Linked DNA regions of Sus scrofa. The protein of the gene in region 1 interacts with the protein of each later gene in a pairwise test. Links are inferred from orthologs where the notes say so. Each region holds a gene or a part of one and is shown on either strand. Other genes may lie near its edges.

Region 1 (3,645 bases):
ACTTGCACAGAATGGTGGAAGAAAGGGAAAAGCAGCAGATGCCCCCCAGGGTAGAGTTTACGAGGAAGAGCTCAGAGTCCTCACTGAGGGTGGAGGTGCTCTGAGCTGAGAGCGAGCTGGCAGTACTGAGCAAGGGAGTTGTCTACTTACCCTTCTACCTCCATCCGCCTGTGCTTAGACATGGAAGGGTTTGACCTTCCTCTGCCTTCCATAGGGAATTAGTGCAATAGTTCTCCTCCCTTTTAAGATTGGGGGTGGGGAGTTCCCATTATGGCTCAGTGGTTAACAAACCCGAATAGTACCCATGAGGACGTGGGTTCCATCCCTGGCCTTGCTCAATGGGTTGAGGATCCAGCATTGCCATGAGGTATGGCACAGGTAACAGACACGGCTCAGATCCTGCATTGCTGTGGCTGTGGCATAGGCCAGGGGCTGTATCTCCAATTCGACCTCTAGCCTGGGAACCTCCATATGCCATGGGTGCGGCCCTAAAAAGACAAAAGACAAAAAAAAGTTAGAAGGTTGGGATGGGGAGGAAAGTCTAGCTTCAGGGGAAAGGGGCCCAGGGCTCCGTGAGGTGCTCCGGTTGATACACCCCAAGGCTGCCTTCATAGAAGTAGAGCATCCCTGTGAAGAGAGGGGACACAGGAAGTCCTATGGTCCTTAGTCCTGGTCTGTCCATCTGGATGGCTAGGTTGAGTGCTGGCAGTGCACACACAGCAGTGTATACACTTCCTGGGCACACCCAGGGAATGTGTTTGGTGCCAGCACAGAAACATTATTATTATTATTTTTTTTTTTTGTCTTTTTGCTATTTCTTGGGCCACTCCAGCGGCATATGGAAGTTCCCAGGCTAGGAGTCTAATCAGAGCTGTAGCTGCCAGCCTACGCCAGAGCCACAGCAACTCGGGACCCAAGCCGCGTCTGCAACCTACATCACAGTTTACAGCAATGCTGGATCCTTAACCCACTGAGCAAGGGCAGGGACCAAACCTGCAACCTCATGGTTCCTAGTCGGATTCGTTAACCACTGCGCCATGACGGGAACTCCACAGAAACATTATTAATCTTGGAAGAAATAGGTAAAGAAAGGAAAAGAACACTTAGTCATAACAGCCTGGGTGTCTTGCAATGCCTTAATAGGCTGGCCATGAAAGAGTCCAACCTTATAGCAGGAATGGGGATATAAAGACATCGAAGACTCAGCCTCCCCAGGAGAGCTGACAGTTCATTAGGGAATGTTGCCATAGGTATACGCCCACCATGCTACGGGAGGGCAGAAAGAAGGGTGAGGGGAGAGGGGCAGTACTGACTCGATACATTCCAAGAAAACAGATTCTCTAACTGGTGCCAGACACAGCTGCTGACCCCACCCCCGATGGAAATGACATGTGTGTCTGACAGCGTCGTCAGGTGTGCTCTTACCTCCACAGTGATGAAAACCTCCTCCAAGTGACTTGCAAAATTTTCCATCTCAATAATCTGCTTTTCCAGTTTGTACATGTTTTTGTGAATTTCGTCCTATTAAACAAAGGATCCCAAGAAGGCATTAATGCTCTGTCTTTTCTCTCTCTCTTTTGTAGAAGGCATTTTATTTTTATTTTTATTTTTTTGCTTTTTAGGGCTGCACCCACAGCATATGAGGGTTCCCAGCCTAGTGGTCGAATTGGAGCTACAGCTGCTGGCATATGCCACAGCCACAGCAACAAAGGATCTGAGCCATGTATGTGACCTACACCACAGCTCATGGCAACGCCCGATCCTTAACCCACTGAGCAAGGCCAGGGATAGAACCCGCAACCTCATGGTTTCTAGTTGGATTCGTTTCCCCTGAGCCACAATGGGAACTACAGTGGAAGGCATTTTAGATTCATATCCTCCCTACACCCTTGAGATAGAAATGCAATATCAAGAGCAAGAAGAACTAAGGAGATCTATTTACCTTGGCGCTTTCCAGTGCTTTATGGAGTGGGGTTACCTCATGTTCCTTGTGTTCATCAGAAACCTCCAAAGCTCTGACTGGTGTTTTGCAGGTGACACAGAAGACATCCGCAGCTTCATCCTCGTCTTCCTCCTCTGGGATGACGTAGCATTCATACTCCTCACTGGCACGGCCATGGGTATACCTATAGGCTTCCCGCAAGTCCTGGCACTGGTCCGCCGAGCCCCAGCCCCCCAAGCCCAGGTCCTCTGCATTAGCCTCCTCCCCGCTAAGTCTCCAGTCTCTCTGCTCCCTGGCTGCTTCTCTCCCCGTCATCCCATAAGGAGGATACTCTGAAACCTCTATTCTGGGCATGCTTTCGTCAACGAATGCATCGCCTAATTCATGATCATCTTCAAGTCCGTAAAGATGGACAAGTTCATCCACTTCTTCTTCAAGGTCTCTCGGAGCCTTCCCTTTCACGGCTGCTCTTGGTTCGTTGGTCATTTCAGCCTGGACTACCTCTCTTCGCATCCGAGCGTTTCCTTCCGGGAAGATCTGCAGTCTGTCTTCAGAGTCGTACAGATCCACGTGATAAAAGTGGAAATCCTTAGGAGCAGCGGGCCTGCCCAGCCCCGGGGCCTCACCTGCTTCCTCTTCCATCGTGGCTCTGGATGCTCGGGGCAGCCCCTCTGCACAGGAAGGTTTCTTTTTGGACAGTTATTAATAGATATCCTGGGTCCTAGAACAGAAAACCCCATTTCTGAGGTCAGTGCACTAGATGGTTATTAGATTGGGCTCAACTCATCCACAATTTTTTAGAAAAAAAAAATCATCCAAGCATCTTAGTTGTAGTTTCACTTTAAGTGATCTATAAAGAAAGATTTGTTTTTGAAGCTCCCGTTGTGGCTCAGTGGTAATGAACCTGACTAGGATCTATGAGGACGCAGGTTCAGTCCCTGGCCTTGCACAGTGGGTTATGGATCCGGCGTTGTGAGCTATAGTGTAGGTCACAGATGCAGCTTGGATTCCAAGTTGCCGTGGCTATGTTGTAGGCCAGCAGCTATAGCTCCGAAACGACCCCTAGCCTGGGAACTTCCATATGCCGAGAGTGTGGCCCTAAAAAAGACAAAAATTAAATAAATAAATAAATAAATAAAGGAGTTCCCATCGTGGCTCAGTGGTTAATGAATCCAGCTAGGAACAGTGGGGTTGTGGGTTTGATCCCTGGCCTTGCTCAGTGGGTTAAGGATCCGGCGTTGCCGTGAGCTGTGGTGTAGGTCGCAGATGTGGCTCAGATCCTGAGTTGCTGTGGCTGTGGTGGAGGCCAGTAGCTACAGCTACGATTAGACCCCTAGCCTGGGAACTTCCATATGCCAAGGGAGCAGCCCTAGAAAAGGCAAAAAGACAAATAAATAAATAAATAGGTTTTTTTTTTTATGGGTGGACAGGCTTCCTAAGCGTCAAAGAGGAGAAATTACGGAAAAAAAAAATCTGTAAATTGATTTCACTAACAAACAACTCCTATGTACTTAAAAAACCTAAAAATCTCCAAAAGCCAAATAATGGGCTTGTCTCAGGCAATTATTAATAAGCAAATTATATAAATTAATTGAAAAGAAGAAATCTCAATAGATTACTGAGCAATGACAAGTCACAAAATAATTTCTTTTGCATGTAATATTACCTGTATAAAAACATTTGGAAAATAATTCATCTTTATG
Region 2 (3,740 bases), about 29 Mb from region 1:
TCTGGCGACCCTGTAATGTCTTCTGGGACCATCCCTGGAAGTGTCCTCTCTTCTTTCCTCCCACATTCCTCCAAGCAGTCTTTTCTTTCTTCTCCTGAGCTCAGCCTCCACTCTGATGCCTCCAGCACCAGACTCTGTTCCTGAGACTCTCCGGAGTCAGGCCTCCGTTTATGGGCGTCTGTCAGGCCCAGCTTCTCGTGGTCAGAGACCGCCGGGCTCAGTCTACTTTCCACCACCTCTTTTCTCCTGGGGCTTTGTTCTTGAGGCTCTGCAGGTCTTAGACTCCTCTCCGGAGTTTCTCCAGGGCTCAGCCTCCATTTCCGCACCTCTGACAGCCTGGAGCTCCGGTCTCCAGCCTCTCCTGGGCTCTGCCTCCAGTCCCTAGACTCCAAAGGCCTGGGGCTTGACTCTCGAGCTCCCCCTATCCCCAGCCTCCTCTCTCTGGCCTCCCTGGGACTGAGCCGCTCTTCTCTAGACTCTCTTTCCTTGGGGCTCTGATCCCTCATCTCCCCAGGGCTGGATCTCCACTCCCGGGCCTCCAAGAGCCCAGGCCGTCTTTCCGCAAGTAGCTCCTCACTCCGCTGCTGCTGCTGCTGCTGGCGCTCTTGCCGAATAAAGCGGTTCTGGTGCACTGGCCCAATGGCCTCCAGGAGGACGGCAGACTTGTCTGGGTCTGGAGGTCCAGCCTCCGTAGTCCCAGGCGCAGGGCTAGGCTCCCCAGGAGACAGACCAAGCTTGGCTCGGCGGCGCTCCAGAAGCCCCCGCTTCCAGGCTGGCATCTGGGACAGCCGTTCCCGTTCTGCCTTCTCCCGGCCACGAACGGCTGCCTCCTCCTGCCGGCGCCGGGCTAGCAGCTGTAGCTTCCAGTCCGGGATGGTGGCCATGGTCGACTTGGGGAGGGTGGGGGAGCGCTGGGGGCAGAGAACAGGAAGGAGAGGCTCCAGAAAGGCCCAGGGGGTGAGAATAGGGGTGGGCGGAGAGGAAGTGGGGGGAGAGGTGGGACTCGGAAGAGGACAGAGGAGCTGAGAGTGAGGAAGGACAGAGGGAAAGAGGGAGAAGAGGGAGGGCAGAAAAGGGGGAACACTGAGAACGCGAAGAAGGAACTAAGAGCCAGGTAGAGGGGGTGGGGGGAGGGAGTTGAGAGGAAGAGTGGAGATTCAGGGCAGAGGTAGGAGTCAGATTTGTCAGCACAGGTTAATGGGCATCAGACAGTCCCGAGGATGTGAGAAGACTGAAAAACGAAAGAAGTTGGCGCGAGGGAGGAAGAGAAAAGAGAGGCTGGGGGTGACGGGAACAGGATCCAGGCAAGGTTGCCTCACCGCTACCCAGGAGCGCTGAGAGCTGGAGGAGAGGTCAGGGAATCCCGCCGGAGAGGGGGCAGTGGGATCTGCACGGGTGTCGGGAAGGTGGGAGGGCGGAGAGTGGACGAGTCCTGGGGAGAAGGGGAAATCGGGGCAGAGGGGTGAGGGAGCTCCGCGGCTGCAGCCCGGCGAGTCTCAGCACGGGCCCCGGAGGTCCGGGCTCCCCTTCCAGCTCCGCTCGGGCCACGCCTCTCCGGCCCCCCAGCCCCCACCCCCCGCCCCGCACTCCGCCCCGAGGCGGGTCAGGGGAAATACCCTCCCCCGGGGACTTTCGGAACCCGGGCGTCAGACCTGCCAGCACATTCCCAGAACCCTGGCGTCCACCCCCACCCGGTCCCCGTACCACCGCCTGCCTCCTGCACCGGCGGTGCCCCGGGACCCAGGCATGCGAAGGACCAGCTCCACGCCTCCGGAGCCTGCCAGTCCCGTGCCCGGTATCGGCTCTCACGGAACCCCGACATAGCCGGCCATCCCCAGCCGGCTCTGGCCGCACAGACAGGCAATCTCGGCACAAAGAGGAGACAGCCCAAGGTCCGGGCCGGGGACGGGAGAAGGGACGGGAGAGAGGAGACACCCTCCCCAAGTCTGAAGCCCCTCCGTCAACTCACTCGCCGCGGGGCTCCCGGGGGCGGGGGTGCGGAGGAGCCTGGTGTCCGGAGAGAGGAGGAGAGAGGAAGAGGAGGAGAGAGGGATCGAGGGAGATCCGGAGACAGGCGGGAGGGGAGGAGGGAGGGGGAGGAGGAGGGAAAGAGGGAGCGGAGGAGGAGGAACGGAGACAGAGACCTGGGGGCCGGGCGGGGGGCGGCGACCGCTTTGTCTGAGGACAATGGGGAAGAGCGAAGGGGGCGCGGGGCGGAGCCGGACTAGGGGGCGGAGCCTCGCCCTCTTCGACCCCGCGTGGGATTGGGCTCCCGGACACCTCTTTTCCCGCCGCAAGCCCTGGCCTTTACGCTGTCTGTCCCCAGGGCCTCTCACCCGGCTCCCGCCCGGTAACCCGGGATAACCCAGGTGTCCAGACCCCCCGCCCCCAGCTCGCCGACCCAGGGCGGCGGCCCGTGACTCAGGCCCCTCGAGGGACTTGGGGAGGAAGCAGCAGCTGCTCTGAGCGGGGCCCGCCCTTCCCATCTCCTGCCGCTCCTCCCCACGCTTTTGCTTTCCCCGGCCAGCCTTTGTTAGTGTGGGGGCCGGGGCGGCCGCAGGGCTACGGGGGGCCCGTGGTGGTGGCGGTGGTGGGGCATCGGCAGGAGCTGTGCTCGGAAGCCAAAGGTTTCGGAAGCTCGCTTTCTTACCCGAGCCGCTGTCCCCACTCTTCAGCTTCAACCTGTCTCCTGCCGGGGCCCCCAAATCTGCAGCGAGGAAATTGGGGGATTTGAAGGAGGGGTGGGTCCTTTGGGAGTGGCCGCCGCCCAGCGGTCGCCAGAGGGCGCGGCGGATGCCTTGACTCGGGCTTGGCTCGCCTGTCCTTCCCAGAATCAGCCCTGCAGCTTGAGAGGCACTGGACAGACTGCATGCTACATGTAGAAAAACCAGGCTGGATTTTATTTTCTTGTAGCGCGAGTTCCTCGGGAGAGCAGGGAGCACTTAGTCACCTGAATTAAGAGCGGGAGAATCTGCCCAACTAAGTTCGAGGATAGAGCCCAAGGGCAAGGGCCTATGGAGCTGGAGAGGCCAGGCGGTGGGGCTGGCCTGCAGCTGCAAGGCCTGGAGCCTGGGGTGGGGGGGTGGGGGGCAGCCTCTATTGTCAAACTTGCAGACCTTGGTCCAGCTTCTAGGAGGTGGAGCAAGATGTGGGAAGAGAATCCCTGAGGCGCAGAGGCGAGTAACAGGGCCAGGGGATTGGTCAGGCCAGGCCCTTCTCCTTGTAAGGAGGTTGTAAACGGAGGGTCAAGCCCTAAACTATGAGGAGAAAGATAAAGTTTCCCACTCCCTCTTCCTGGCTGGTGAGAAGTGGACCTTGGCGTCCAGTAGCTGAAACTCAATTTAGGGTCTAGAGCTGGACCCAAGAAGGAGAGGCTTAAGCAGGGGAAGGGACAGGTCCTTCAGTCCTTGGATTTGGGTCTCTGGTCTGAAGCAGACAGGTCCTGGATGAGAAGGGGTTTGGAATTGGAGGGAGAGGAAGTGTAGGGCTTGGAACCAGGGTTAGCTTCTCACTCAGCCTCCCCATCCTGGGGCCGGGAGAGCAGGTGGAGTTTTCTTTGCAGCTGGGCCCGGAGGTAGCGGAGGTCTTGCTGGTCAAGTCCGTGAGCCAGGCCCAGGTAGAGGGTAAGGAGGAGAGCAAGAAGGAGGCGGTCAGTGCCCAGAGTGGGCACCACCCAGAGCACTGTCAGCAGCTCCACGCACACGGGGTGGCGCAGGTGAGAGAAGAGTCTCAGAGCTCGG

The links. The genes of interacting proteins can lie anywhere in the genome.
Region 2: the proteins of FSD2 (region 1) and PPP1R18 interact in binary tests that used the Homo sapiens proteins (3 or more experiments, as listed by UniProt). The two-hybrid records come from large-scale screens. The link is inferred for Sus scrofa from reciprocal best matches to the Homo sapiens genes FSD2 and PPP1R18.

The regions. Positions count from the first base shown.
Region 1 is NC_010449.5:52,164,935-52,168,579, reverse strand, and holds part of FSD2 (fibronectin type III and SPRY domain-containing protein 2), read right to left. Parts: intron 2,664-3,645; 5' UTR 2,585-2,663; coding exon 1,943-2,584; intron 1,522-1,942; coding exon 1,426-1,521; intron 1-1,425.
Region 2 is NC_010449.5:23,219,432-23,223,171, forward strand, and holds the start of PPP1R18 (phostensin), read right to left. Parts: upstream 2,865-3,740; 5' UTR 2,651-2,864; intron 2,032-2,650; exon of another isoform or gene 1,970-2,031; intron 1,954-1,969; exon of another isoform or gene 1,705-1,953; intron 1,433-1,704; exon of another isoform or gene 912-1,432; 5' UTR 885-911; coding exon 1-884. Other genes in the region: NRM (nurim), read right to left, coding at 3,509-3,740.